Linked DNA regions of Arabidopsis thaliana. The protein of the gene in region 3 purifies or fractionates together with the protein of the main gene of each other region. This does not show direct contact. Each region holds a gene or a part of one and is shown on either strand. Other genes may lie near its edges.

Region 1 (6,751 bases), on a different chromosome or scaffold from region 3:
AAAGTTGTGACCAGAACAAAGTCGTTACATGATCTTAGCAGTACCTCGAACCATTGTTTCTTTGTAGAAGTTAGACCGGTTTTACTCGATGATTGATATCGTATCTGGTGTCTAGTGAGCCTTGGAAAAGGTCTACCTGGTCTCTCACGTAGATCAACTGACACAATGGCTCCATTTCTGAGTCCGCAATGAACAATGTTTCCCTGAGAAAAAGAAGTAGAAGCAAAACATAAATACATGTGTCCTTCAGTTAAAAATGAAGACATGACTTTGACTTGTCAGAAGGGAGGTTCAGACAGCAAGTTAGCTGGAGTTATATACTCAACTAAGAAACAGTATCGAGCCGCTAGAAAACGATGCATCTCGGAGCTTGGAATTAAGAGAACTTTACCGATTGATGAAATTGTAGAGCAAAAACATCGCTTTTGCTTCGAAGAAAGTATGAACCTACTCCTGTTTCCAAATCAACCAAACCAGCTCCTAAGTCGGTACCTGTAATTTATCAAAAAATCTTTTAATAATTTCCATATGATTCTTGAACCGAGTCCATTTACAGAAAAATGCATTTGCTCTCTAGGTATAACTGTAACTGTAATAAAGTAAAATCTTGGGTGACAAAAATATAACATCGTAAGAAAGAGAAGGTACCAATAGCTGCATGACTCCCACTTATATTGCAATCAGATGTCCAAATGGTACACTCAGAGGAAACATTCCCTTGGAGGCTTCGCGGAGTAAGTATGTTCACTTCCTCAGCAACATTTAAGATAAAAATCGACCCACGGCCAGTTGATCCCAATGTAGTTATTCTGTTTTCTCATGTCAAGGTTTTACAAATGGGAAATCAAGACCGAGAGTAAAAGATAAGACACATTTAAAGGATACAATGCCCGGTTTACGGGGTGGGAGTTTTCAGATGCATCAGATCTTCCGATTAACTCAATAGAAGATATAGAAGATAAGGCGACCAGACAAGGTTGCGTAGGTCTCAATATATGCTCAGGTGCTTCCCTCTCTTCTGTATCGTTTTCTTTGCAAGGAAGAACAGAAACTGGATCACACTCGATTACACCATCGTATACTTGTCTATCTTTGGAAACTCTTAGAATGCTGCAAAAAAAAACTTCCAAAGCATATAAGTTGGCCTGCAAATAATTTAAACAGCTCTACTAACTCTTCAATAAATGGAAATACATAAAGTTTCATAGTCCAGTTTTGAACATCCATAAAAACCAATAATTCCAAGAAGCTGACTAATACATACCTCAAGCAACCACCAGCACTGCCTGCTACTAGGATGTTCTTTCTGGTCAAGCCTACAGGTGTTTGTACATCAACCTGAAACTGTTTCAAAGCGGTATCGCCAATGTCTTCTGTGGATCCGTATCTCCATACCTAAACATAAGAAATGTTTCATATCTGTCTTCTGTACTCTTAAATAAGAAACAAAAAGGTTAAGTTATTCTAGGTGGTAATTACCACAGGATAAGAAGCTTGTGTCTTTTGAATCTCGTCCCTGAAGTTAGACATCTTCTTGTTGACAGAAATAACATTGCCATTTAACTCTCGGGAATAAACTAGCTTCAATGCTTTTAGTTTAGTCCTCTTCTGATAATTAGTTTCCTGATGCAATTTCCATATAACTAATCACTGATTTACATAAACAAGTTCAAGCTAGAGAAGATTGGAGAATTCTCATTGATTCTGCAAGACTCGACCTTTACTACATAAACTTGAAAAAGTTGAATTTGTAGTAAACTGACCTGTTCAGGCTTTGGCTCGGGTTTTTGTTTCGTTCTTGAAGAAGAAGAAGACTTTGCACCAGGGATAGGACCTTTAATGGGAAAATATCTGTTCTTCTCCTCGTCGTAATAAAACCCAGGAAGTTCTGAAAAAAAAAAAAATCAAAGATAAACCAAATTCCCACATCAAAATCTCGGATACGCAATCGAAAATAGAAGAATCCGTCGAGGAAGAAGATTCAGACCTGGTTTCATGTTGTGTCGGACTTGGAGTCGACTCTGTTCTCTGTGTTCTTTCTCATCAGACACCATTAAAGGCTAACATGCGCCATATAAATAGCTTTAGGTTTTAAGAATTGAACCGGAAACGTGTTTTTATTCAATTATGGTTTAAAATGGACCGGTTTATGATCCGGTTTACAATAGTGAAAAACAGAAAACTAAAACGTATATCCTTTTTGTTCACAACAAACAACTTCAACATTATTTAAAGGGACTCTCCACAAAGCTTTTTAGTTCTTGTGCTGTAATCTCCCACTCTCAGCACCAGCAAAAGGATCAATAATAACATTTACCACCGCGGGTTTTCTTGCGGCGAACGACTCAGCGAGAGCGGATTTAAGCTCATCGGGTGTTTCCACAATATAACCTTTGCCTCCAAAGGCTTCAATGAGCTTGTGGTAGCCTGCATTAGGAACAAATGATGTTGGTGCTGGATCTTCTTTATGAGGACCGGAGATTTCTTCAGGTCCCCTTCGATCACCGCCGTAGACACCACCATTGTTGAAGACTATAATCACCACAGCAAGATTGTATCGAACCAATGTCTGCAATCATCATTAAAGACAAAAGTTCAGACAAAAGACAATTTCCACATTATGCTAATAAGTATGTAAATCTTTTTACTACCTCGACTTCCATGGCGCTGAAGCCAAAACCAGAGTCTCCTTCAACAGCGACAACAAGCCGATCAGGAGAAGCAACAGCAGCAGCAATACAATAACCTAAACCAACACCCATAGTTCCCCAAGTTCCTGCATCAAGCCTTGTCCTTGGCTCTTTCTGAACCAAAACAGATCTTCCTACATCCATTGTATTAGCTCCTTCCGATACCACAACAGGACTCGGTCCTTCCACAGCCAAAATAGCGTCTCTGATTATCCTCATAGGAGTCAAGAAATTGAAAGGAACCACATCTTTAGCAAGCTGTATCTCCATCTTCTCACCATTCTCTTTCGCCTTCTTCGAAATCGATTCCACCCATGAATTAGACTTCCCTAAACAAAAAGGATCGTCTTTGATCTCTCTATTCAACAATCCAATCACAGTTTTAGCATCTCCAACAATCCCCAAATGAGGTTTCCTTAGCTCAATCTCTTCCTCAGAGACATCCACCAATATAAATTTTACATCTTTATCCCATTTAGGCGACTCTCCGAAATGAAGAAGCCAGTTAAGCCTAGCTCCAACCACCAACGCGACATCACATTTCCCAATAGCAAGAGACCTCGCCGCAGTCGCCGAGAACTCGTGTGTGTCCGGTAACAAACCTTTACCCATCGGAGTTGGTAAAAAGGGTATTCCAGTAATTTCAACAAGCTTCTTCAGCTCATCTTCTGCTCTCGAATACGCAGCTCCTTTACCAAACACAATCAACGGCCTCTCAGCTTTCCTCAGCAACGAAACCGCCGATTCAATCTCCGATCTCAGAGATCCACGAATCGGTTCTTCCTTCCGTGATCTCTCAACCTCATCCACCAATTTATCAGCTTCCGATTCCGATATCTTCTGACGCAACACATCAGTCGGAATATCCAGATAACACCCACCGGGTCGACCCGAAACAGCTCGATCCAAAACCCTAGAAACACAATCAGGGATTTCACGAACATCTTTCGCTTTCTCTGATAATTTCGAGAAAGCTTTAACCGCTTCGATCTGATCAAGCTCCTGGAAATCTCCACGACCAACATCTCTCTGATCACAAGAACCAGAGATCATCACCATCGGCCATGTATTAACCCAAGCGTTGGAAAGACCCGCGAGCCCATGAACACAACCCGGACCCGAAACCGTTAAAAGGATACCCGGTTTACCCGTGAGGTAACCGTAAGCTGAAGCGGCGTAACCAGCGGATTGTTCGTTGTGGAAGGCGATGAAACGTATACCTAAAGCCATAGCTCGGCTAGCTAGAGACGTGACGGGGATTCCAACGACGCCGAACATGTGGGTTACGCCGAGATGAGAGAGTGACTTGGCCACGAGAACGTTGCCATCAATTGACGGTGGAGTGGTTTCTGATTTATCCGCCATGTTCTCTTGGATTTGCTCAAAGTTTCAGTTTCTTCTACTTGCTTTAGTTTCTTTATATAGCCTTTTGTATTTGTGTTTTACTCTTACTGTGATTACGTGTTTTGCATTAATGCTACTATTAGCCTATTATTGACTTCTTTATTTGCATTTTGTGTGTTCTCTGAAAATTTTATCTACAAACTTGTACACGTAATTATGTGTGTTTTGCTAATTTAAAAGTTATCTACGTAGCAAATAGTAAAATTCTCAACAAATTGATTATACGACCAAACTATACATGAATTTCTTTATTTTTGGCAACTTACATTATTCAATAACAAAGTAGTATGACAGATAACTTAATTTACAAAGGTATTGTGATTTAGTGATTCAATAAAATATATCTTTGGTTTTGGTCACTAGCGACTCCTACTTACCTAATCTTCTCAATAATTTGGATTTGGATGTGATAAAATGATAAATTTATGAGTTCATGGTTTGGAACAAGTGACCTTGTATAACCCTTGAGGGCTGCCACTAGAATTGTTTTGTAGTTAGCAAAGAAAACAAATCAAATTTGGATTTGTTCTTTTACACAAAGTGGATGATTTTGACCACGACAAAACTAGAGCACCACTCAAAGATTTCTCATGATTTTGCGAGTCTACAAAATAAATTTTTTTTTCTCCAACGGTAGTGAATTCCACAATCGATTGAGCTAACAATTTATCAAATAAACTTGGACTCGTTTAATTTAATGAAGAAAACAGAAGAGCTTGACAAAAAGAAAAAAACAACAACGTGTGGAACCATTAACAATCAAACATCTTTAATGGCACGCACGTCCTCTCTCAAAAAATTTCCTCACGTATACATACGCTCAAAACATTCAAGAACCAATGCTAAGGTTCCCATTTGAGTTCTTTTTGTAAACAAAAACATGGCGAGATCGCTCAAGAAATCAGCCAAGTTGAGTCTAAGAAGAGTCCGGATCAATTCACCTTCGATTAGGTTCAAACCGGACTCGAGTTCCATAGAGAGAGACCAAAGAATCGAGTTTCTAGGCGAAAATGGTGATGATGCCGGATCCGGAGAAGAAGACACCAAAGAAGCAAACAATGAAAGTGAAGAGGTTGAAGATAAGGAAGAAGAAAGAGTCAAAGTAATTGTAGAGGAGGAAGAAGAAAAAGAACAAGATGATGCCAAGAGCTTTAACATTGGAGGCGGAGAAGGAAAAAAAGAGGCGGTGGCAGCGGTTGAGGCGGTTGAGGAGGAGGCGGAAGGCGGGAATAGAGTAATGGTGGTGGTTGATAAAGCGCTTGCTTCTACCGGAGCTTTAGAATGGGCTATTACGCATACTTTACAACCACAAGACACTCTTTTTCTGTTATACTTTGCAAAACCGTTTAGAAAAAGTTCTTCTCTTTCTCTCCTCTTTGTCAATTTTCTTGTTTAAGGTTTGTTTGGTTTGGCTAATGAGGTTTTTCGGATTGAGTTTTAGGTAAAAGGAAGAACCGAAAACGCGAGGTGAAAACCGATGAATTGGTCCATACTTTAAAGAAACTGTGCCAAACGAAACGACCCGGGGTGAGTCACACTTGGTATTCGATTGTTTATACATATAATGAAAGCTACACTATTACTGTTCTGATCAAATTCTGGCGACGTGTGGATTTCTTTTATGAATGTCAGATAGAAGTGGAGATAAGGAGGTTAGAGGGGAAAGACAAAGACAAAGGGCAGAAGATAGTTGAAGAATCAAAGAAACAACAAGTGAGCCTTTTAGTGGTTGGACAAGAGAAGAAACCTCCGGTCTGGAGGCTATTGAAGAGATGGGCGTGGAAGAGACGCCGTGGACACGAAGGTGTTCTCAAATACTGCCTCGAAAACGCCTCTTGCATGACAATCGCGGTTAAACCCAAGAACCGCAAGCTCGGCGGTTACTTAATCACCACCAAACGCCACAAAAACTTCTGGCTTCTCGCTTGACAACAACGCAAGTTTTCCTCTTTTGTGTTTGTATCATTCATAAGGCTTTAAAATTTTTTCACCTATTTCATCTTTTATACATGAAACAAACTTGCTCCAGTACACAAAAATCAAATAGGCCTTTCTTGGATTATTGATATAACAATGTTACTGCACAAGAACTATGAACAATTTTCCCTATCTTCTGCTGGTTCAATCGGTTAATGATTCCGAGATTCTGTTAATTAACACAATACATTGGAAAGCAAGTGAGACTTCTTGGTGTTTACTAACCTTCTCTTTTTGAGCTCAGCTTTCATTGTCATCGTTTCGGGTTTGGTCCAAAACTACTGAACCCAATGCTTATAAGCAATCTGGTGAAGCTGATCATATCCCGCAAGCACTCCTGCTCCTGCTACTCCAAGAAGCATGTTCGCAGTAACTCCTCTATATAGCGCATAGAACCCTTCCGACTTCAATATCTCTCTTAAGGCATGAATGGTGTTCCGGTATTTAACAGGTTGTCCTGATGTAAGCATCATTCTCCTCCTAAGTGTGTCAAAAGGGTAAGCAATGACGCCTGCAGAGGTAGTAATACTCCAACCCAATAGAAAACTAGCCAAGAAGTTTCCCTGTCACGGAATCAAAGAACCATTTTTAGCTATTTTCTGCTATAGATTAAGAAATAATAACGGCATACATAGATGACATTACCTCTAAGGAACCGACTAACACAATGGGTTTGATGG
Region 2 (5,303 bases), about 14 Mb from region 3:
TGCACTTTCTCATGTGTGTGTTCATATTGCTGGTTCCACATGTAGCAGGATTACATGAATAGATTTTACCACAATAATTGCATGAGCAACTATTATCATCATCTTTCAACCTCGTAAAGACTTTCCATGCTGTTGATCTTGTAGGTAGTTTTCTTTTTGCCTTTGGCGACACTGTTGGAGACTCGGGTTCTTTTCTTTTATTGCTAGTCGTGTTTCTTTTAGACATCTACAAACAAAACATGTATAAAATTGTTAGTCAATTGAAAGAATACAATTACGTTTCTATTAAAACATCTTTCATTATTAGTAAACTAAATAAACATGTATGATCTGTTTTCTTGCACGAAAATCCATTGATTATTGGTATGAATGCTAAAATATATTATATATATTGTAAACAAACAAAATCACCCAACCTACATGAAACCTATTCTTAAAAATTAAAAAATCTAAGTAAATAGAAGAAACAAGACAACGCAAACACAGATTTTTCTTTTCCATGACTTTGCGGTGTACGTACAGATTGAAAAAATCATCATATACTCATAATATTTAACTAAAATTGAGATGAGCGTAATTGTATTGCTAGAGAGTAGTTAAAAATCATACCGTGGCTGTAGAGAGTAGAGAGAGACGACGGAAGAACAAATGAAACGAAGTTAGAAGTAAACCTTAGGTTTTTACTTTTTAGGGTTAGAGTTTTAGTTAGAGATAAATAAATATTTAGAGTTATTTGTAATATTATTTATAGAATTAATTAATTAAGTATATAAAGACATTGGGTTGTCGGTTCGGTTTGGTTCAAAACCGAACCGAACCGACCCATTTGGGTTGAGATAAAATACAACCGAATTGTTTGAGTCTTAGATTGGGTTTGGTTTGGATCGGTTTGAGTTCGGTTGAGTCGGGTCGGTTCGGTTCGGTTCGGTTAAAATGCCCAGGCCTAAGATTTTGCTCTTATATAAGAGACAAAATACACTCTTAAAAAAAAAAAACTCTTATCAAAACTCTTAACTTCAAAATAAATTATAAAATTATTGTTAAGAACATTTGCTAAAAGCCCACCAATGTGGATGCTCTTATATCTTCATCATTGTTTTCTTTGTTTGCATGGCGTTTACTTTAGATATGCTACTTACTACTCATAAATTCTTTCCGGTCAAACGAAGCCAATGGCTTTTCCCATGTCCTCTCATAACAGCTTTCAGTTCGGGATCAGTCTCTGCATTGTACAACTCATATCCGGTAAAAGTCCATGGACTCACTATTCTCAAGCTGAGACGAATTCAAGAATTACAATTTTTTCTCGAAACCCTTCTCCAACTCTGTACACTCAACGTCATTACTCTCTTCCTATACACAGGCGAAACAGAGTCCTATGTAACCACACAAAACAGAGTTTAAATCAAATTAAGCAATATAACCCACGAATCAAGTGAGACAGCAAAATGAGATAAAATATCTGCAATCTAGAAATTCAGGAGATTGATAGATCAAACTACTTAAACATTGCTAATCCACAACCACAAACTAATGTAATAATGATTGTTTTGATTCAGTTTTTGGAAGCTTTAACTAATCCATCTTTTCGTGTTCTTCCTCATCATCTTCTGCTAGTATCACCAACCCTGAACTATGAAGTCTTCCTTTGTCCTGTCTCCTTCGTATACTACAACGTTTCCGCTCGCTGACCTGAACTATGTCGTCAAGGCTCTCGGCGACAACAAGCTTCACTGGTTCGTTGTTCTCAGCTGGAATAGGTTGAGAATTTTTGTGGACAGCAGCTTTTCCATCCTAGAGAAAACATTTTCTTTGGTTAGGTTATATTGATTTCATATATACTTCTTTTACATAAAGCTTGTGTGAATGTGTGAAAAAGAGAATGAAACCTGGAAGTCCTTGACCCATGATTCAATCTGGTCAACCTCAACCTCGACCATATTCATCACCATTGATGAAATCAATATCATAAGTATTGACATCTTTATCACCATTGTTATAGTTCTCCTCATCTCTGCAAAAACTCTCTAAACGAAAACAGAGTAAGAAGATAGTTGACGAACACACTGCTTTTGTACTTTGTATTAGAAAACAAGCTTAAATTAGGGAAGCTGCGGCAAAACCCTTAAATTAAGAACCACTAAGCAATAGAGGGTTTAGCTCTAATCAGTTTCAAATATAACATCCTTCAAAACCAGTAAAGGATTCATTGTTTACTAAACCCAAATCTAGCATTCAACAAAATCCAGTAAAAGACTCCTCTTTAATCCATTCCAAACCCACAAAAGACAAATCTAACACTGAACAAAGACCAATGTAGTTTTCACCTTAAATCAGTTAAAGAGCCTACCATTCTGACGAAATCAATAAACCACAAATTTGGAGACTAGTCATTTAGATAAAACTGATACTCTTCTACATATACAGATACATATAGTATCAAAGTCTTCATGCAAAGCCATTTTTCTAGAGGTAGCATTGTGTCTTTCACTCTTACGCTATCTAGTATCTACAGCCTGTATGCCGTTCCCATTCACTTGGTGACTGCTTCCTTGACCCACATGAACCACACTTGCACTCAATTCTGAAACAATAGTTCAAAGATTAATGTGTTGGTCAAATCTCTAAAACAACAAGACAATGATAACAGAAACCTAGGATTAAACACGGATTTTTTATCGTTTTCAGAGAAAAAATCAATTTACGATATTGTGCTGCATAGTCATAATTCATAAACAAATAAGATCCTTTCTAAATGAAGAAATTGAAATAAGGCTGAGACATCTAATACGTACGCATGAAATGCTCTGATATATGTTCCTTCCATGCCATTACAGACTACATTAATCTCATCAGGCAGCTCAGTCTGTGTCGCCTTTTCTGTAGACCAATCCCAAAGAGGTTGTGAGGAAATCTCGCATATTATAGCAATGGAGAAATGCAAACAATAAAATCAGGAGAACATGAGAAGTTAACAATATACTTGAACACTGAGTTCTGTTCTTCTAATATTGATAAGCTCATGCTGGACTTTACAGTTAGGGCAATAGTAACTGTTGTGCTCCAGTTCCTTAAGATGATAACCAAATTAGTGTGATAGTTCAACAAGCGTGTTCATTACTTAGAATCAAAAGTTAAGATGCATGAAGGTGTACCTTAAAGCGCTTATATAAATTATTGTCGCACCCATACGGCCATACATCACACTCATCACAATAAACCTAATACATCAAATCAAGTCAGCTAAATAGATGTAATCATTTCTTACAGGTCTGTATTTCACCAAACATGGTCACATATATTCTCACCCAATCTCCATCATTTGAAGGGCTGCCATACTCTCTTGCAAATGCCACAATACTGATTGGATTTCCGCAACTGAAACAACAAATTTGGATTCAATTCCTTTTGGCAAGAGAATTATTTGTAATTGTGTTTTCTAGATAAAGATGGTTGATGATGCAAAGTTATATACCTTCGTTTTCTCGCAATCTTGTGTGAACAGCAACTGCATGGGGTGCGATAACTGCTTTAGGTTGGGAAATATCTGGCTGTCCGGTCCAAGACTTGAGGTTGAGAATACCTATTATAGAGGTTTCATGTGAAATTTGTATGAGACAAAGGAGAATGATTCAAAGAGGAGAAGTAAAGGAACATAACAGTAATGAAGATTTGAAGTTACCTGAGGATGAAGATTCTTTATGGTGTTTGAGGTCAAATATGGCTCCACAAGCTGCACTTGCGTTTTTCTGCAACTTATGAGATCCAATCAGATTGTAGTCCCAGCTTCCATCTTTGTAGCCTTCACTAAGGAAGAGTTCAATGTGCCTAGCATCAAGAGTTTGCATTGTTCCTACATAGTAAAACAGAAACACTCTTAGTTGCAATTTAGTTATTGCAAGAGATCAATACAAAAGTTTCAGCAACAGATTAGAGTTGATTAGTGTCTTTTACCTCACAGGTACTGAGGTCACAAACAGGTCGCACAAGCTGTAAATCTGGAAAATGAGATAAGCCATATGTTACAGTTTTTCCTGCAGTTGACAAAGTTTCTGAAGATCATGAATAAGACATTTTTGTAACATCCGTTCTATGGTTCCTTCCTTTGGGACTTTCAGGCGACCACTCAAACTCTCAGTCAGGAGTGAAGTTCGAGAATCAAGCACAAAGGCACCAATCGGCATCCAATCTATAATTACAGTGTAAAAAAAACAGATAAAGATGAGGCTGTGATCAGCAAATGAAGTACTTCAAAGTCAAAGATCTGTACAATACATCTATATTTAACACGACTTTTTGACAATTGACAATTTTTTTCCATTTAGAGTACCCAAAAAACATGACACGTATTGCGCCAGGGACGCAATGTTTCAAGACCCCATCAGGCGCTTGTACCACAGCCGGCCCAGACAAGATCGCCGACTGTAAATTCCTCTGGTTTGTACACGCCCTTACGCGAGGCGTCGGACTTTTTCGGCATACCAAAGTTAGCATCCCAGTAATCGCAATCTACTTCGCTGCTGTCTTCGTTATCCTTACGTGGAAACAGCTTCGGGTCTTTGCTTCGATGCAATTTCGAGCTTCCCCAGATACATGTCTCCGTCGACTCTTCCTTGCGACTCTTCAAGGATTTCCATGTACCAACAATGGAGTCCCTGAACCTTGAAGGAACCGCTCGAACTCTGCCACGCGAAGACTTGGACTGGTCAGAGCACACTTGTTGAGATTCTTCTCTACTGGTCAAGGAGCTTGAGCTACTTGTTAGAACTCCGGGTTCTCTGCTACATGGTTGATCAACGCTTGCTCGTTGTCTCTTCTTATACACCATAATCTCACCCTTTTGGCTACCATACTCAATTTCTAAATCAATTTTGCACCGCTTCAGATTCAGATTATCGAATGTCGTCAAAATCCGTTTCAAAATCATGTCCTATCTCAGCTATTATCGCGTAGTCAACATAAACGACTATTCAAATTCCGATTCCAAACCCCTAATTTCATTAAACAAAACAGATTCGCACTTCGGACCTCCGGGAAACAAAAACTCGCAACGTTTCAATTCCTTTAGCAAATTGGCTCAATAGACAACAAACCCAATGCGAAACCGCTTCTTCAACCCTAAATTCGAAAACGAAAACCAAATTCTCGTTCTCTCAGAGGATAGAATTAAGAAATCAAACGACAGAGAAATCGTAAAACTCTAACACGCAGGAGAAACAAACCAAATCCTCCTCGTAAATTCCTTGGAGAAATTATCAGTGCTTTCACTACGGAGAAGATAAAACCTTAAAATCGACGGCGAA
Region 3 (9,860 bases):
GCATGACTAGTTTCTAACTTTTTTTTCTTTATGGGTTTAAGTCTTACTTTGGATATTCTGCTAATCTTTTCAAAATTCTGCAGACAATGAAGTGGTTGTTGTGTCTGTCAATGAACCCTCCTCTGATGTGACTGACAAGGACATTAATGATTTTGTTAGTTAACAGCACCTGTCATTCTAAGTGCAAACACTATTTTTTTTTCCTTTTTAATATAATGTGACCACAAGTTAATGGTGTGGTTATAATATACTTAGGCATCTTGGTTGGGTGGATCATATGTTGCTGGAGCTGAACCATCGTCTGGATTGTTGAGTATCCCTCTGGCTGGGGGTGCTAATGTGGAGTTCAATTTGGAAAAGGTAATATTCTTAATTCCATGAAAAATTGTATGATTTTATGTGGGAGAGGTTGCTGTATTACCTGTAGATATTGTGATTTTCATATGAAGAAGGCACATGACTTTTGTTTCTCTGGGCAGGAAGCAGAGAGGAAATTTGCATTGAACCTTTTGGGTCTATATCAGAATATCAGACAGGCAGTCAGCGTTTATGACGATTTATCTCATGGTATTGACAGAACTGCCGAATTAACGGTTGGACGCTTTGGTGGTATCGATGTAAGGGCATTTTTGTTATTCTGTTTTTTTCCCTTTCCTCAGTTTCTCAGTCTTGGTATATAAATTAGAGGGTGGAGTTCATTGCATACGCAAATGTGTCACCTTTAGTCTCTTCAAAACTTATGACATTTCTGTTGATCGTAATAATGGCTGTTGGTTGTGCACTCTTTTCGGGATACTCCTGCTTAGCTATTTAAGGAATAGCAGAGGATTCGAAAGTGAATTATGATAAGATCTCAGGGAACTGGAAATGTTTTGAGCTGGTTGTAGTCGTCTAAGCTATCTTTACACTTATTGTATCCAAGGATTGCAAGGCTGATAAGGACCTTGTAATGAGTTTATATCTTGAGTTTATTTTTCATTGAAAATGTCTAATTGTTCAACCATCATGTTATTGTACTTAGCTTATATTTGTTTGCAAAGGTTGTCAATGTCTCTAATATAATTTATTCTTTCTGGAAATTATAGGCTTTAGCACAGGAGTATGGACAAGGTATGGCTAAGCAAGGGATGGATGTATTACTTTCCACATTATCAAAGCTATTCAATCTGTTGGAGACATCTCATAAAGGTGAATTGTCTCTCTGATTTAATAAACTCGTTTTCAAAGATATGTGTTAGAAAGTAGTTCAAGATGGGGAACTCATTCTCTGGAACATTTGTCTTTTTTCTTAACTGAATTTATGTAAGCTGAGAGATGTATTGGCTCTTGTAGGCCAAATTGTTGGGGTTATCGTCCTTGATGAGAGAGTAAACCAAGAATCAGAAAATCTTTTGAACTTTGGGTCTTCCCGTTCATCTGCACGCTCAATGGTGGAAGTGGAGGGAATTCCAAGTGCAGCCATTATCGCTGAGGTTATACTTGTTAGGCTGACTCTTGCATGGTTGACTGGAATCATTCTTCTCATTGCAACTATCCTTGGGGTAAGATCTCATTACTACTAGTCTACTACCAAGCAGATTCTTTGGCCAATGTAAAGTTGAATGTTTCCACCTAAAGTGGCCTATTGAAGAACTCAATCGTAGTTTGAAAACTGAATGTATTAAGTCACTCGAAGTTGACGTACTTGTCATGTTGGTTGCAGGTATACTTCCTTATGAACATGCCTTTGACGAAGGATACTCTTCTATATTCAAATGTAAAGCTCGACTAAGAAATGAAACAGAGCTTCAAAACGGCAAAAGGACACTGATTTTCTCTACAGGTCGTTCGTTTACATATTTTTGTGTGTATCAAGCCGTGTTTCTCAACTGGCCGCCTTTGAAACCGGTGTCATTTGAATGTTTAAAGAGAAGGATGAAACTTTTGGTGGTCAGAGCAGTTGATGTGTTATGTGTATATTGCCATATTGGTTGCATTCTCGACTTATAATTATTTTCTTTCTTACATACATTTTGAGTCTCAGTCCTAATAATAAAAGACCACTTTGGACACTTGATGTGTATCTTCTGTCTCTGTAAGAGCTTTTGATCATGAATCTGAATATATTATTGCAACTTCTCCAGGAGCTTTGTTTTGCATAAGACAGCATCATTAGGCTGCTCATTTACAAATGTCACCATCGACCTCTATTAGTTCAGTTTGATTCAATATAGTTCGATTTGGTTCTAGTTATTACTTAGTAGACCATATGCGAGTACAGAACTGAAGTAAATGATATGACCAAGAGGGGTTCATAGAATAATTCTTTGTAATAAAGTTCCACTAAGCAATAAGAGAAGAAACCTTGATGTTTTCTCAAGTAAGTAAGAAGAGAAGCATCATACAAACAAACAAAAATTACAAATCCTTTATTGGGACACGAGTATGATTAAACTCATCGTTGTCTGACTCTTTGATCAAATTAAGTGTACCGAGTTTTCATGCTATATAGCTCTTTATATTTTGCGGTTCATAGATTTGTCTTAGGTTTGGGTTTGTGGGCAATGCGTCTGGTCACACTGCGCATTGTCACAAATTCCTCTGCAGAAGATGGATGTATCCCAACCTGTGTTTTGTTCACAATATTAATTATCTTTAGTTAGAGCAAACATCAAACTGGTGAAAGTGAAACCCAAGTGCTTGGAAGACGTATGACTTACCGTGCTATCAAATTGTGCTTTGGTTGCTCCACACTTGAGCGCAATTGCAATCCCCTGCATTAAGCCATACAATATAATCACTTAAAATCAAGACACGCTTCGGATCAAACTCTAATCCATTTACAATACTAAATACTTCTCAAACTCAAATCAGGTTCTATATGGTTAGAAGAAAAATTCAGACATGCAATCGTCTTTAATCAACCCAAATCTTTCAGCTACCCTGTAAATGATTTTTGTTCTTGACACCTATGCACCACTCAGTAGAGCAGCTAAAGGGAAGTAAAATAAATGGTAGAAGCTACTATAAAGGAAAACTTGCCTGCATGATCTCAGCTGCATCAGGACCGCACATGGATGCTCCAATAACCTTATCACTCTTCTCATCAACTATTAGCTTCATCAATGTCTTTTCCTGGCGTCTATAACCAAAATAATTTAGTGATTAGTTCAAAGAGTGATCAGGTGCAAGCATATTGAAGAAAATCAAGAACTTTTCTAAGGATTTTCTAAAACTTAGAACTTTCAATGCTTTAGACAAAAAAAAAAAGAAAAGAACTTTCAATGCTTGCATACCCAGAAATGGTGTTCTTCATTGGATTAAAGCCTGAGGTGAAGACCAGAATATCACCGGTTGCTTGTTCTACTGCTTCTTCTTCGCTGAGACCCACTACAGCTAGTGGTGGTATGCTGGAAGACATAAGGAAACAAAAATAAAAATAAAAAATATTTAGAAAATGTAATATCTATATAACTATGAGAATACTGATATTTCCAGAGTAGCAGATATGTTTGTGGAGTAACTCTATAATTATGATAATATTGGGGCTATACAGTAAAAACATATGCCAATATAGGAGAAATGTTTGTGGAGTACTTTCAGATATTTTCAGAGTTTGATATTCACATTTTAAAGATCACATAGTTTGTGGAGAATTGTTCCGGGACACAATACACATAGTTTGAGGTAACTAGTGCCTGCAATATGACACACAAATAAAGCAAACTTTCATCCTATCAGAAAGAATACTTACCAAAATACAGCACAGGCGACATTGCTGTATTCTGCTTTAGTAGGCTTTCCACCAAAAGCAGTGTTCTGCAAGCATCAAAACAATCCACAAATGGAATACATAAGTAGACATTCCCAAACACAAAAGCTGAAATAGTTGGTGGTAGGTACAACTCCTCGAAAGGTTTGTGTAAATTATATGTGCAAGATAAGAGGCACAGACCGCAAAACAGGTGGCCTCCATTAACGCAACAGGTGTAAGGTTAATTCGGTTTGTGGCATCTCCTACAGCCCATATGCTAGGTATATTAGTTCGTGAATACTCGTCAACCTGAGGATAATGTACTGAATTAGTAGCTGCAAGAGGAGAATGTTTCCCCAGAAAGTCACGGAAAACTTTATTCAGGATAAATTTTAGTATCTGCAAATTTAGGAAATTGTTAAAACCTTCACAGCTCCAGCCTGATCAAGTTCAACACCAACAGCTTCTAAATTCAATCTTTTGGTATTAGGACTTCTGCCTGTATCAAATATAAACAAAAGATACATCCTTAGACAGCTGGAGGTAAAGCTACAGAGCTTCCTGGTCTACAATAATTCAGGAATTTTAACACCAAAATACCAATCATGCTCCATTTCAATAATAAGTAGATTCCTCAAAAATTAAGTTCAAGGGAGGAAGCAAAACCCGCACAAACATACAACTATCGAAAAACAGAATGAAGAAACCTACTGTTCCGTAAACCCAAAAATCCACGCAGAGGAACATGTATTAGAGTAGAAGAGAACAGAGATAAAAGTACTCTATTATAAACAAACGAAATTTGAGAATCACGTAACAGAAAATTTACCAGTAGCAAATAGGACGACATCTGCCACGAATTCCTCCCCATGGGACGATATGACTTTGATCCCCTGGTCTGTTTTTGTCAACTAAATGGAAAGATAGTGTATGTTCAGTAAAGTACTATGAACTCATGAAACAAGTGAAAAGAACGTATATAGTAATGAGACATGAAAAGTAATAATCATATTCAGATACCTGAGTCAAACTTGTTTGTGGATGCAGATTAACGCCCCTTCCTTCAAGATTTCTAGCAACTAGTGCCCTCATTTCGTCATCAAAACCCCTGAAAAGTAGAGTTTTAGAAAGAAAAGAAGCTAAAACAAAGAGATGGACTTTCAGTTATTCAACATAATTTGACAGAGAACCAGCACCTTAGCGGAAGTTCCTTCCTGAAGAATAAATCTACAGTAGCACCCATTCCACGCCATATTGATGCAAACTCCACAGCAATATACCTAATTAAAACGTAAATAGAAACGAGGATTAAACCATTGAAACAGCTGGCATGTTAGGTACAGCAGGAGGAAAACATTGAGGAAGACATTACCCTCCTCCAAGCACTATAGCACGCTTGGGAAATTCTTCCAAGCTCAAAGCTTCATCAGATGTAATAGCCAGCTCCTATAAAAGACAGTTTATGTATAACTCAGTGGACTTTCCATAAATAGCAGTTAATAGTTTTTCTCACAGACTAATTTAGAGAAATCATATTGCAAACATACAGATGTGTCTGTTATTTCTATTAAAATCTTTCCGGACTTACTCTGAAGATAATGATTTCATAAATACCAAGCACATCACACTATAGTAGATAAAAAAAATAACATGAACACAGAAACTTACATGTCCAGGAATATTAGGCTTTTGCGCCCGACTGCCAGTGGCAATCAATATGTGCTTTGCGGTATAACTTATTTTTGTGCCATCTATTTGTCTCACCTCCACTTCGTTGGGACCAACTACTCTTCCTTCACCTTCATACAATTTCACCGCAGCATTTGCCAATAACCGCTTGTAGATATTATTCAGTCTTAGTATCTCATCAGTCTGCACAGAAGGAATTAAAGACAGTAATTGATTATTTATGACCGAATTAGTTACATCGCAAAAATATCCAATCTACTGAGCACACTAGAAAAAACTATAGCAGCAAAAAACCATTCCCCACCATCTAACTTTCATACTTGACAAAACAATAATATAAGTATCTTCAGTAGGTTGCGGAAAAATATCAATGCTTATACATCCCAGAGTTTTAGTAGTTTCTCATTGTGAGAAATCCAAGACACTATACTGCTATTACAACCAAAACATCCAAAAATATTAACCTAAAGGTCACTTTCTTGAAATAGTTTCAACCATAATTTCTTCACAACTTAAAGATCAAAGGAAGATATTACAGTGTCAAGGAGAAAGCTACAACGCTAATCGTTTTACAATAAGCTGATTTCATTGGGATAACTTCGAGCAACTGGTGCAAGTGTATCAAGAAATATTTCACTCAATTACTGAAAAATAAGAATACGTAAGCATTATAGCAATTCCTGCATACCTTCTTTTGCAAAAGCTTCTTCCATGTGAAGTCGACTTTCTCATTTATTTCCCACCCATAATTTTTAGCATCCTGCCAGCAGTTAAACAACAGTATACATCATCAAACACAATTCTCTCTCAGTTGACATGAATTGTTCATAGACATATAGCCTAAACAATAATTTAGGAACATGAATACAATTTTGCAAATATTGCTAGGGAAAATGACTATTAAGAAGTTTGCTTTTACAGCTTAAAGAAAGACATTGAAATGATGATTAAAAAACATGGTTCATACCTCAAGTTCACCACCGTAAGTAGCTCCATAGACGAGAATCTTTTTAGGAACACAACCACGGATAACACAGCTGAAAGCCAAAAAAAGTGGAAACAAATAAAGGTATAAGATCGTGTAAGATTCCAACGTTTGATAATGCATCAACAAGGAACTTACGTTCCACCAACGCCTCCAATCTCCTCAGAGCTAATAGGGTGAAATGGAAGCTCACAAATACCAACCTACAACAATTGATTCAGAACAAACAACAACAACACATTAATACCAAAACCAGACATACACTAATGTCTAGAGATCATCACTATCCTCAAAAATAATTCAGACCTTAGCGCCATGATTAGCCGAAAACCTAGCAGCACGAACACCGCCACTCCCGGCACCGATGACAAACAAATCAAAATCATAGTGCGTCGCGTTGGCTTCATCAGCCGCCACCTTATCAATCTCACCATCAACAAGCATCTTCCTCGCCATGATTATGCAGACTCACACAAATCCAAACTGCCAAAAAAGAAAATCGAATAATCAATCAACACCACATGAAGCAAAATAACGAAATGAAACTAACAAACAGTGAATCTCGAATCAGCAAAAACAAACCCGATCGATAGGATGTTTGTCTATAATGATGAAATCGTTCGATGAATCGCGAATATCAAAGAAGAAGCAGTGTTACCTTAAGCGTTGAAGCGACAAAGCAAGAACACTAAAAGATCAAGAGAAGAGAGACACAGATACGGAGAGGAGGAAATAATCAAATGATTGTGTGGGTAATGTTAAATTGGATCTCTTCTTAATCACACATCGATATTGTTTTACACTGACTTAAGTTTTTTTAGGCTAAAGTCATTAATATAATTAAACCATTGAGTTTTTTAGATTGATCAATACCTTTATGTATACCAACTTAGTGCTCCCTACGAAACATATGCTCAAACAATTGAAAGCGACTTTTAAAACGAAGACATGGAATCTTTCAAAACTTAAGGTCTAAATTGAACGCTAAAAAGCGTACGTAGGCGTTGTCATTATATGCTCTTACGTGGCTTTTCTTTTAGCCAATAATTCAAAACCAACAGAAGAAAAGAAGAACACAAATTGTTCTTCTCAGATTATTATTTATTATCTAAACAAAACAAGAGTCAAGTCACCTCCACACCAAAATGTTGAACAACATTTACGTTTCCATCATCTTTTTATGGAAACTTTTCCCACATACTCCTCTCTATTAATATTATTACAACTCAGGAACTATGTCGGCTAGTTCCTCTCCTTAAATAACATTTCCTCTTTTTTATATATGTTACTCCGATAATCATATCAGAGATGTGAATTTACTTGTATCTTATATATAACAAGACCGAATGATTTAGCAAGAACAGCTTAATGCTGAATTACCAAAACACTTTGCCTTGTGTTTCACAACTTTGAAGTTGTTCGAGAATCTTCGGCTTCTAGGGGATAAGTGTACTCTGTCCATCATGTTGATCTGTGGAGCGTCCAGAATTGCCTTTGGCAACGATAATGCCCATTGCATTCCCCATATCGCGAGCGGTCTCATGTATATCAGTGACCGGTAATGCCCATCCATTGTCCAACCTTCCGGTGTCTGGAACCAATATCTGTTATTCGGTTCAACAAAGATACATCATCATCATGCTCGAGTATATCTATGTGTGTGTGATATCGAAACAATTAACAGACTGGATATAAAGAAGAAAGAAAACTTACCCGAAACCTTCTTCTGACCAGCCAGCTGTGAAAATTCCCTCAGCAGTGGTGAAACCTTGTTCTTCCATTCCAGAGAGGATCATAGTAGCCGCAGCTGCATAAGTAACACCTGTCCATATCTCACGAGACTGCATGCACGTGTCATCCACTTTCCCATCCGGATGCATCCCATTTACAGCACCCATTTTACCTCCTTTTGTCTTCATCACATTGAAATCAAAGATCTTTTGCATAGTGCTTCTGATTTTGGATTCCTCAAATAATGGAGGCAGACCTGAAGACGCGGCATACCATTGACCCGCCAGCTGATCGGTCTGTATAGATTTGCTGTTGCTGCTTGACCCACTGTCGTAATTGAAGTATGATCCATTCCAGAGTTTCGTTTCCAGTGCTGCCTTTGCATTCAAAAACTTATTTTTACAAAGTTCTGCAAAGAATTTGTCACCAATTTGGAGAGCCATTGCTGCTGCAGCTTGAAGAGCAGCCAGCCACAGGCAACCGCAGTAGGCACTCACGCCATGAACAGTCCATGTATCATATGTCTGATCTGGGAAACCATCATTCTCTATTAGATCGTCATTGTCTCTATCAAACTGTTCCATGTACTCCATAGCAGCACGAACTGCGGGCCACACGTCTATTCCAAATTGGTAATCCCCTGTAGCTGCAAAATCTCTATACACCTGAAGCACAAACTTTGGGTTCAGATCCTTCCACCTGCTTGTGTCATGTATGTTGTAGGCATTCATTTCATTCCAAGGATCATGCATCCCCAGATCGTGAGGAACAGCACCTCTGACCTTGCGAATTCCCACATTTCCTTCTGCCAGGAACTTAACCTTCCTACCATCTTCAGACAACACGGCTTTCGCAAAATCACGCTGGATGTTTAGTTCGATCTTTGGGAATAGCATAAGGAGCGCATATGATGCGTAAAAGTGTACATCATATGTGCACCACATCACATACTCCACACCTTCCAAATACAGAAACCGACCAACATCATCGCCATCATCTACATGGGGAGTATCGACAAATAAACCATTCCGGTTATGAATGGCTGATACTTCATCATTGCTTTTTACTCCAACGCTGTTGCCATTACCAAGGTCATTCCGTTGATCATTAATGTCAAGTCCACCGACCTTACCATCTGAATTTCCTAATCCCGATTGTTGATGCTGACTATTCCCATTAGCATTGAGTGAAGAAGAGTCTGCAACCAAAAACCGTTGATAAGGTGATACAATAATTTCAAGGCACCAAAATAATGAAACAACAAAATTTTGTTAAAAGCGAAGAACACAATTTTACAATCAAGAGTTTGACTTTGAAGAAGCGTATAGATGTGTACCTATCCAAACTGTACCACCGGCAACCAAAAAGTAAAGCTCATTGAACAGAGTGAACTTGTACCTACAAAAATACAAAATAGTTCAGGGCAGAACGGTGAGAGAGCAAAGTATTCAAAGATCTATTAGGTTCCAAAGCAATTACCACTCAGGGAGCCTTTCATCTCTGAGAATGGGATTCTGCCATGCTTCAATATCTTCCTCCCACCTCTTATAATCTGAAGTTGAAAACCGATGCTGGTCAATAATGCATAAGCACTATTCCACGTAAAACGGAAGACAAATTGTGTGTATGTGTAACATGGAACAATTTCAGTTAACAACATTATCAGGTATACATCCATACAGGGTGGCAACTTAAGTGAAGCATATGACACATGAACATCAG
Region 4 (8,463 bases), on a different chromosome or scaffold from region 3:
TTTGTTTTTTGGTCTTGCACGTTGTATGTTGAATCTGCTATTTCTTTTGGAGTATTAACTATAGGTAATGGTGTCGTGAAGGCAAAAGCAACAAATTTATTCTACGTATCAGTGCGAGTTTGCTCTTACAATTTTATTAAATGCGTTCAATTTTATTGATTAGCAAAGGCGATCTCTTGGAGCTAAAAATTTTTGCACTTAATTTATAAACAATGTGCAAAATTAAAACAAAATAATATCTATTAATAATATGTTATAGATACGTTAGATCATAAACTGTATGTACGAACACTAGCGGCGACACAACATACAAGTCACCCTTTTCTAGCATTCGACCAAAACCACTTATATTGAGATTTGAGAATGCGATGTCCCAAACCTCACAGACTCTCTGTTATGTGATGTTTTGAATAAAAGAGAGGTCAATGCTCTTTCACGCGGGAGAACATCATAATCGCAAGTGCCCTCAATTAATGTAGTGTATTCACCAACGAGCAAGGCAAACTACAAGAAGAAAAAAGGAAAAGAAAACTTGAGAAGTTCTTTGAAAACAAAACGTCCAAACAAAAGTGTAACTGAAAAATACAAATAGATATAAAGATTCATTACGTTAAAACATAAGTATTATTCCATAAAGCGGACTAAAAAAAGAGTCTTCATTGAAAAAAGAGGATTCAGAAAGGCGTCGACGAAATCTTTACTATCGATGATAGAGCGTCACAGCATCGACACGGATCGGAATCTGATGATAAATTTCGTCGAAAGCCTCGATAGTATTTCGAAGATGAGTTTAAGAGGAATGCTTGCTGTGGAGTTTTCGGCATGATCTAGGTTACGTGATGTACACGGTTGTGAATCTTCCATTGTGGATTGGTAGTGATAGCCCTACAAACATAAAAAGGGACCAATATATATAACACATGACACTTTTGTTTTTCCATAAATAAGTAAGGGAATTTCCGGTTGTGCCATATTTGTAAGCAAAAATGGAAAGATTCTAGACAGAATTCCGTAAATTCCTTTTGTGTCAACCAATTAGACTACAAAGTAGATGTAAGACTAGTTGAGACGATTGCAATTAACATGTAAGGATTACATGTCTTTGCGAAATAAAATCAACTAATCAAGAATAAAAGTACAATAGAGTTGTTGTTTACAAAGATCAAAACTATGTTAATTACAAGAAAACAATAAAAATATAAATAAAAGCCTAAAACATCATTTATTTAATCAACCAATAAAAATAATTTTGCATTGAAAATTTAAAACATCATTTATTTAAAAACCAAAATGAAAGCTTTAAACATCATTTATAAAAAGATTGGAAGGAGTATATTTTTATTTGGACAAAGAAGATAATGCTTATGGAATGTCTCTTACTTCAAATGCAAACCTCGGTAGTACCTGTAAGATACTTTTTTAAATAAGTGACTTGGCTGCTTCAACCATAGCTTCAATGGTGATACCAAACTCTTTATAAAGCTTTCCTGCTGGTGCACTTGCTCCAAACGTATCAATTCCAATCGATTTCCCTTTTCCTCCGACGATCTTTCCCCATCCAAAAGTCGATCCAGCTTCGATACTAACTCTAGCTGATACATCAGATGGCAAAACACTTTCCTTGTATGCATCTGATTGCTCGTCGAAAAGCTCCCAACATACAAAGGAAACAACTCTCACACTTTTGCCTTGTTCCCTTAACTTCTCTGCAGCTTGAGCAGCAATCTCTAGCTCTGATCCAGTTCCGATCAAGATCACATCGGGTTTGTTACCGGTTGAGTTGTCAGAAATGGTGTATCCACCTTTCTCGACGCTCTCAATAGATGTTCCTGGAAGTTGAGGCAGCTTTTGTCTAGATAAGGCTAAGACAGAAGGTGTCTTACGTTTTGTGACAGCGATTTTGTATGCACCGGCTGTTTCGTTCCCATCAGCTGGACGGAACATCATAATATTGGGCATGGCACGGAAACTGGATAAGTGTTCGATGGGTTGGTGGGTTGGTCCATCTTCTCCAAGACCAATGGAGTCATGGGTCATAACGTATATAACACCAGCTTCAGACAAAGCCGAGATTCTCATTGCAGCTCTCATATAGTCAGTAAACACAAAGAAAGTTGCGCAGTAAGGGATAAAACCGGGGCTGTGAAGGGCAATGCCGTTGCAGATAGCTCCCATACCATGTTCCCTGACACCAAATCTAAGGTTTCTTTCTTCAGGTGTGGCTTTTTGGAAGTTGCCGAATGCTTTAAGCATTGTCATGTTGGAAGATGCAAGGTCAGCACTCCCACCAAGAAAACCAGGCACAGCTTTCGCAAGTGCGTTAAGACATTGCTGAGACAGGTTTCTGGTGGCATCACCCGGAGAGTCTGGTGTATATGTCTAAATGAAAATTTTAAGTTGCCTAAAATAAGAGCCTTATATATGAAGAATACTGATAAAACGTTATAGATTACCAGAAAGTTCTACTTACAGGAAGTGCCTTCTCCCAACCAACGGGCAATTCACCTGAGATAATAGATTTCAACTCTGCAGCTTCCTCCGGATATTTCTTCTCATAAGCTGCAAATTTGGCATTCCAATCAGCTTCAAGAGCAGCCCCTTCGGGCGTGTGACGGCTCCAATGGCTAGAAAACATAAGAATTATAGTAAATTACCAAAGCAGGTTCTCATACCACAACCATAACCATAAATAGAAGTGCATAGTTAAGTTCTACTTACCTTTTGACATCCTCAGGTACATGGAACGGCTCATATGGCCACCCAAGATTGTTTCGGGTAGCCTCAACTTCCTTCTCACCAAGCGCAGCTCCATGGACACTGTATGAGTTTGCCTTGTTGGGAGAACCATAACCAATTGTAGTAGTGACCTAAACCATGCCACAAAACAATTAACACCAAAGGCCATGAGATCAAACGTTGCTTAATGAGTTCATGGCTAAAAAAAGTGTGCAGATACCTTAATCAAAGTGGGCTTGTCTGTTACAGCCTTAGCTTCCCTAATGGCAGCACGGATCTCATCATAACCATTGTTTCCATTCTTTACCCAGATAACATGCCATCCAAGAGCTTCAAAGCGTTTGTCCACGCTCTCGGTAAAAGCAATATCTGTGTCTCCATCAATGGAAATGTGATTGTCATCGTAGAAAGCGATTAGCTTTCCAAGTCCCCAGTGACCAGCTAGAGAGCAAACTTCATTTGAAATCCCTTCCATCTGACAACCATCTCCAAGAATCGAATACCTAATCCAAAGCAGTCAGTTTACAACATCACAATCCAAGAAAGATAACAATAAAAGTGCCGTTGAAGGAGTCAAAATCTTACGTGTAGTGGTCAACAATCTCATTGTCAGGTTTGTTAAATCTAGCAGCCAAATGCTTCTCCGCAAGAGCTAAACCAACAGCATTTGCAATACCTTGTCCAAGAGGACCTGCATGTTGGCAAATACAAGCAATGCTATATTACAAAAGATCAACATCAACTAAAACACACAAAAGAAGCAGAGAAAATCTAACTAACCAGTAGTGGCTTCAACACCAGGAGTCTCAAAATTCTCAGGATGTCCTGGAGTCTTACTTCCCCATTGACGGAAGCTCTTCAAATCTTCCTCCTAATAAAAAACTTCAACACTGCTTCAGCAAATCTTAAGTTGGTTCTACAATTCTAAATCTCAAGACTCCAAAAATCACCAAATGAGCAGGGAAACGGAACAATCTGTGTATTTACTATGTAATCTCAATAATGTAAACTAAAAGGATACAAACTTAATAAGCAGAGTAAGAGAACACAAACCCTAACGCTGTCGTAGCCAGCAAGGTGAAGCAGAGCGTATTGCAACATGCATCCATGTCCAGCAGAGAGAACGAAACGATCACGGTTAAACCAGTAAGGATTCTTGGGGTTATACTTCATGACTTCATCGTACAAAATGTGAGACATCGGAGCACAGCCCATAGGAAGACCTGGATGACCTGATTTCGCCTTCTCAACCGCATCTATTGCCAGAAACCTGATCGTGTTCACCGACTTATCAACCAGGGACGAATCAGAACTTGTCACGATTGCCTCTACGGCGGCTGCACGAACCAGAGGGCGGAGAGAGTGACTGATCGTGGAGGCGTTTCGTCGACGGGAAGAGATGGTGCCACTGGTGCGTGGAGAAGTGGATTTGAGAGCAGAGAAAGCTGGTATAGAGACGCAGTTTTCAGAGCCATTGTGAGAGATGGCTCGTGTAAGGAGAGCTTGTGAGAGCGCTAGAGAAGAAGTAGAAGCCATTGATGCTCTCTCTGGTTAACTGAGAGAGAGAAAATAGAAGAGAAAGCTTCTCTGCAAACCTATTTTAGGAGACTGTTGCTATTAATAAACCAATGAGATCTCGATCTGACCGTTGGATTCAGAAAGGACACAATCTTGACGGCTGTGATGCTCTATGGCTTTAACAATTTTTCGAATCTAATTCTTTTGTTTAATTTTCAACTAATCATTGCTTTTTACGCTAATTATTAAAATAATAATTTAATTTAAGTAAAAAATAGATTGACAATGCGGCATGGTTGGTGTGTTAAGCAAAAGCCATGGTTATGACAAGGGTTGGTGAAGAACCTAATTACTTTAGATTTTTTTTTTTTTTGGGGGCAAAATTGCTTTAGATTTAGGAAATACATTTTAGTCACCAATTCACCAACTCCGGTATTGACCCAGTCGGTGACGGCGTAGCTGACGAAACCTTTTTTTCTCTCAACATCCCACGTTGCATAGCACGTGTCTTTATTTTGCTCATTTTTTCTTGTTATGTTTGCAATTAGTGGGCCTTCTTATGACCTTCTTTTGTACCGAATATTTGCCCATTTGGGCTTTATGAAACAATTGGGCCGAAAAAAACTCATGCAGTTTAATGGAATCAAGAACTGAACCAAAACTAAACCGGAGAAAGCTTACTCATGTCCTTGTGACTGTGTCGTGGTGTGTCATTACATCATCTTGACTCGCTTGCTACTCGAGGATGAGTTTCTTAGACCTCTACTGGTTACAGTGTATGAAGCCGAAGCTGAAGGAAGTGAAGGGGACTTATCGATATATGCGTAACGCTCATCACCATTCCAATACAGAATGACTCGGTTGGTGCACGAATGAGACCAGCTATCGCCTGAAAACAGCACAAGTTGACCATTTAAGTATCATAACAAATGAATGATGATGATGATAATAGCAAACTGAGATGGTAGATTTGAGTTTGGCTCACCTAAAGCAAGCGCTAGTTGAAACGAGCCTTCACTAAACTTTGTGGTCACCTGGTTTAGTAACACGACCTGAGATTGGATCATAAGAGTTGATTAGGAACCTCCACTTAAGCTAGTCAAGGATTGTATTGTGAATTAGATCATTTCTTCTTACCGCAAGTGAGAACTTTTTGGCAAGCTTCATGAACTTTAAAGCCATTTCGCTGAGCACTCGTGTCCTCTGGGCTAAGTCATCATAGTCCTGACGGAAATGAAAGGTGATACTGTCTACGATTACAACTTTAACCTGCAACCATGAAAGATTAAAGAGAGTCTTAGTGAGCCGCCGAATTATGTCACAATATACACTTGTAGCAGCAAATCAACGGGATGGAACTTCAAAATTATTATACCTACATCTTTGTTTTCAGAGATGAACTTTTCAAGATGATTGACCAATGCGATTTGCTCGGTGTAACTGCAGACACGGAAGTAGAATATGTTCTCTAAGATATCTTCTGGTTTCATTTGTACTTGATTTGCTTGAAAATGTTTATGCATGTATCCTGTGTATTCTTCCATGTCCTCTACACAAGCTTCTGCTATCTGTAAAGCACGCTCCACCATGAAGCTACCTTCTGTATCTGTAGCATACAAAAAGCATTAACAACCAAGTAAGTGATCAACCAAGGCATTAGTCATCACTACTAAAAGAAACATACCGATATATATAGCTTTCCCTCCAAGACCACCACACTCACGTGGAATCTGAACATTCACAGAGAGCTGGATCCTGAAACCAGATCGAAGTTAACAGAAGAGGAAACACTCTGATGATGATGAGAAAGTAGAGGAAAGCAGTGAAGCGGATTTACCCAATCTGAGTCTTGCCAATCCCTGGTACCCCACCTTTGAGAAAATAAGCAAACCACTAAATCACTTAATGATCTCAAATTGGACCAGAGAAAGAATGATAATGGAGATGACATACCAATCTCTGTAACATCCCTACAGCTAATTCCACCGCCCAAAATGTTATCAAGATCAGAGCAAGATGTAGTAATACGCGGCAAAGACTCCTCCTCGTGAAGCATATCCCAAGCGTTCTTTGCTCCTTTGTTTAGTCACAAAATTTCATAAAGAGAATCCTTGAGTGAACCATTTAAGAAGGAGAAAAACCACCAACATAGCTCCAAGGAGGAGTTCATCAAGTTACCATTTATGAGTGAACGGCTTCCATTGCAACAACTTTGATTAGCCAGCTTCAAAATCTCAAATGCTTCCTCCTCTGTGATATTTGCATCTACTCACACACCAACGATATCAAAGATGACTCAAAACACACACACACACATATATAGAATTATTCCAGAAATAAGCCTTAAACAAGAGACTAAATAGAACCCTAATTATCAACCCAAGGACTAATCAATTGAGGTGTACTGTCTGTGCTAATCAGAGAAAAACGAGCAACAGATTCTAATCTTCTAAGATTAGGGTAAAGCAGAAATTTACCTCGAGCGAGATCAGAAGAAGAGACGGAAGCAATCGAAGACAGACAAGTATAACCGGCCGATATCAGTTTTCCTCTAATCGAAGGCGATAACGGTAACCTCCATGCCTCCATGACTGAAGTCGCGAGTGAAGTTTCTTCAATCGCCGGCGATTTACGCCGCCCAAATGAAATCATTGTTGGCGCCACATATATAACGATGAAAGTCTTTTAACTCCCTATCGTTGAATCAATATTTAAAAACTATTGGATTAAAAATCGTATAATTCTCAGTAGTCTAGTGGTTCAACGACATCTAAATTTTACTAATGTCGTGAGTTCGATCCATATTTGCAACTTTTTTTACGTTTTTTTAATTTTTTTCCCTTTTTTTTTCGTCGAACAACTTTTCATTTAAAGCCCAAAATGGGCAAAGATACAAATGGATTTGAGACCAACAACCTTAAAACAATGAAGCCTGCCATTTTTCTTCAAATCCATTTGAAAACTCCTTAGCAGAACAGACTCTGTGACAATCGATTGGTCTTCTCCACATCTTCTTGACCGGAAATCCATCTCTGACCGCCTCGAAGCTACAGAACACTCCGCTCCACAACCGATTTATCGATAAAAGACGTCCCATGACTTTCCATGGACGAGCAAAGGCATCATTACTCCCTGCCTGAGAAGATTAGAGCATATGTTGAAGCTGAAAGAATTCCTCACGGCCACTGAATCTTTAGAGAAAAATTGATCTCTGCAAGCTTCTTTTTTTCTCCTCAATGTTGGCGCCATTTAATGTTGGAACTAGGAATAAACTAAAAAGTATAATGAACCAGACACGGTTTAGGTTAACCGGGACCAATGATTGAACGAAATTAAATTAACCGGAAAAGCGTTTGTTCCTCAGTGAAAAGAATACAAGGATTTGGATATCTGGTTTTAAGTTACAGGAGACAATCTTCTTGCTACGTTTGTGTTTGTTGTTGAAGAGAATCTGCTCTAATGATTGAAGTAAGTGACGGATGGATCCGTGCAGTTCTCATAGAACGAGCTTCGCTTCTTCCTTTCGCATACTCCTCGCCAAGAGGCCACCTCGGTCGAAGATCATACTAAATTCATAACCAACAAAACATCAATCTCCAAGTTATCAGTTTTTCAAACAATAGAATCTTTACAAGTACCGAGTTTTGTTAAGAAAAAGTACCACATAATCCTCAGGTTCAGTTGCAGGTGGAGGTGGATCATATCTTCCTACACGAAAATGCTCGAGACCAGTCCAAGCCACCATTACTCCTGGTGAGACTAATGAATACTTGTTAGTTTCTATTCTCTGTGTCTCTAATTTGATCAGTAGGAGAATTTCAAACTCTATTTACCATTGTCTGTGCAGAGGCTAGGAGGAGGGCAAACAAGTTTCAGGTTTTTGTTTTCGACAATGTTATTAAGTCGGAGTCGTACATACTTGTTTGAAGCAACACCACCAGAGATTACCTGAAGCTTAGTCAATATTAGTCTAGAAGCATTTGTCAAGCAAAACAGAGGTTTCTTTTTCTTGTTCTAAACCTCACCATATGTTTAATAGAAGGCTCTAGTTCTAATGCCCAGTCTATTGCTCGCTCACATTTTTCTTCCAGATGCAAGACAGCTACTCGCTGGTTCATACAAACTGAAAATGTTTAGAAATCAGCATTTCACTAGAACATTAAAACCGGAGATAAATTTGTACCTGGAAAGAAGCGGCAATATCAGCAC

Evidence for each region.
Region 1: the proteins of GR1 (region 3) and AT5G17380 fractionate together in Arabidopsis thaliana (co-fractionation; one large-scale study listed by BioGRID). This does not show direct contact.
Region 2: the proteins of GR1 (region 3) and AT3G62510 fractionate together in Arabidopsis thaliana (co-fractionation; one large-scale study listed by BioGRID). This does not show direct contact.
Region 4: the proteins of GR1 (region 3) and AT2G45290 fractionate together in Arabidopsis thaliana (co-fractionation; one large-scale study listed by BioGRID). This does not show direct contact.

Annotation. Positions count from the first base shown.
Region 1 is NC_003076.8:5,722,666-5,729,416, forward strand, and holds AT5G17380 (Thiamine pyrophosphate dependent pyruvate decarboxylase family protein), read right to left. Parts: upstream 4,248-6,751; 5' UTR 4,056-4,247; coding exon 2,652-4,055; intron 2,570-2,651; coding exon 2,255-2,569; 3' UTR 2,094-2,254; downstream 1-2,093. Other genes in the region: AT5G17370 (Transducin/WD40 repeat-like superfamily protein), read right to left, coding at 45-203, 392-492, 649-809, 886-1,110, 1,265-1,395, 1,480-1,623, 1,764-1,888, 1,988-2,054; AT5G17390 (Adenine nucleotide alpha hydrolases-like superfamily protein), read left to right, coding at 4,975-5,449, 5,536-5,621, 5,727-6,023; ER-ANT1 (endoplasmic reticulum-adenine nucleotide transporter 1), read right to left, coding at 6,350-6,634, 6,717-6,751. UniProt on the Arabidopsis thaliana protein: Catalyzes a carbon-carbon cleavage reaction; cleaves a 2-hydroxy-3-methylacyl-CoA into formyl-CoA and a 2-methyl-branched fatty aldehyde.
Region 2 is NC_003074.8:23,120,047-23,125,349, reverse strand, and holds AT3G62510 (disulfide isomerase-like protein), read right to left. Parts: upstream 2,520-5,303; 5' UTR 2,498-2,519; exon of another isoform or gene 2,162-2,497; intron 2,015-2,161; 5' UTR 2,013-2,014; coding exon 1,890-2,012; intron 1,795-1,889; coding exon 1,576-1,794; 3' UTR 1,559-1,575; downstream 1-1,558. Other genes in the region: AT3G62500 (F-box protein RMF), read right to left, coding at 2,862-2,880, 2,984-3,070, 3,156-3,221, 3,309-3,378, 3,476-3,583, 3,683-3,853, 3,966-3,998, 4,073-4,189 and 1 more; AT3G62499 (YTH family protein), read right to left, coding at 5,201-5,303.
Region 3 is NC_003074.8:8,727,253-8,737,112, forward strand, and holds GR1 (glutathione-disulfide reductase), read right to left. Parts: upstream 7,373-9,860; 5' UTR 7,066-7,372; exon of another isoform or gene 6,990-7,065; intron 6,891-6,989; 5' UTR 6,864-6,890; coding exon 6,714-6,863; intron 6,611-6,713; coding exon 6,546-6,610; intron 6,460-6,545; coding exon 6,390-6,459; intron 6,183-6,389; coding exon 6,111-6,182; intron 5,606-6,110; coding exon 5,402-5,605; intron 5,180-5,401; coding exon 5,106-5,179; intron 5,014-5,105; coding exon 4,930-5,013; intron 4,842-4,929; coding exon 4,754-4,841; intron 4,645-4,753; coding exon 4,563-4,644; intron 4,233-4,562; coding exon 4,159-4,232; intron 4,043-4,158; coding exon 3,935-4,042; intron 3,799-3,934; coding exon 3,734-3,798; intron 3,390-3,733; coding exon 3,276-3,389; intron 3,122-3,275; coding exon 3,022-3,121; intron 2,754-3,021; coding exon 2,700-2,753; intron 2,606-2,699; coding exon 2,510-2,605; 3' UTR 2,102-2,509; downstream 1-2,101. Other genes in the region: PMP (putative type 1 membrane protein), read left to right, coding at 84-154, 256-360, 480-617, 1,086-1,188, 1,333-1,541, 1,703-1,771; AT3G24180 (Beta-glucosidase, GBA2 type family protein), read right to left, coding at 7,759-8,011, 8,121-9,336, 9,475-9,536, 9,618-9,690.
Region 4 is NC_003071.7:18,668,546-18,677,008, reverse strand, and holds AT2G45290 (Transketolase), read right to left. Parts: upstream 4,513-8,463; 5' UTR 4,273-4,512; coding exon 3,790-4,272; intron 3,608-3,789; coding exon 3,517-3,607; intron 3,428-3,516; coding exon 3,322-3,427; intron 3,240-3,321; coding exon 2,957-3,239; intron 2,868-2,956; coding exon 2,719-2,867; intron 2,625-2,718; coding exon 2,471-2,624; intron 2,380-2,470; coding exon 1,420-2,379; 3' UTR 558-1,419; downstream 1-557. Other genes in the region: RAD51C (RAS associated with diabetes protein 51C), read right to left, coding at 4,968-5,143, 5,240-5,306, 5,392-5,523, 5,634-5,860, 5,939-6,009, 6,092-6,125, 6,208-6,330, 6,433-6,519 and 1 more; GCP1 (glycoprotease 1), read right to left, coding at 7,677-7,820, 7,916-8,004, 8,088-8,202, 8,280-8,363, 8,438-8,463.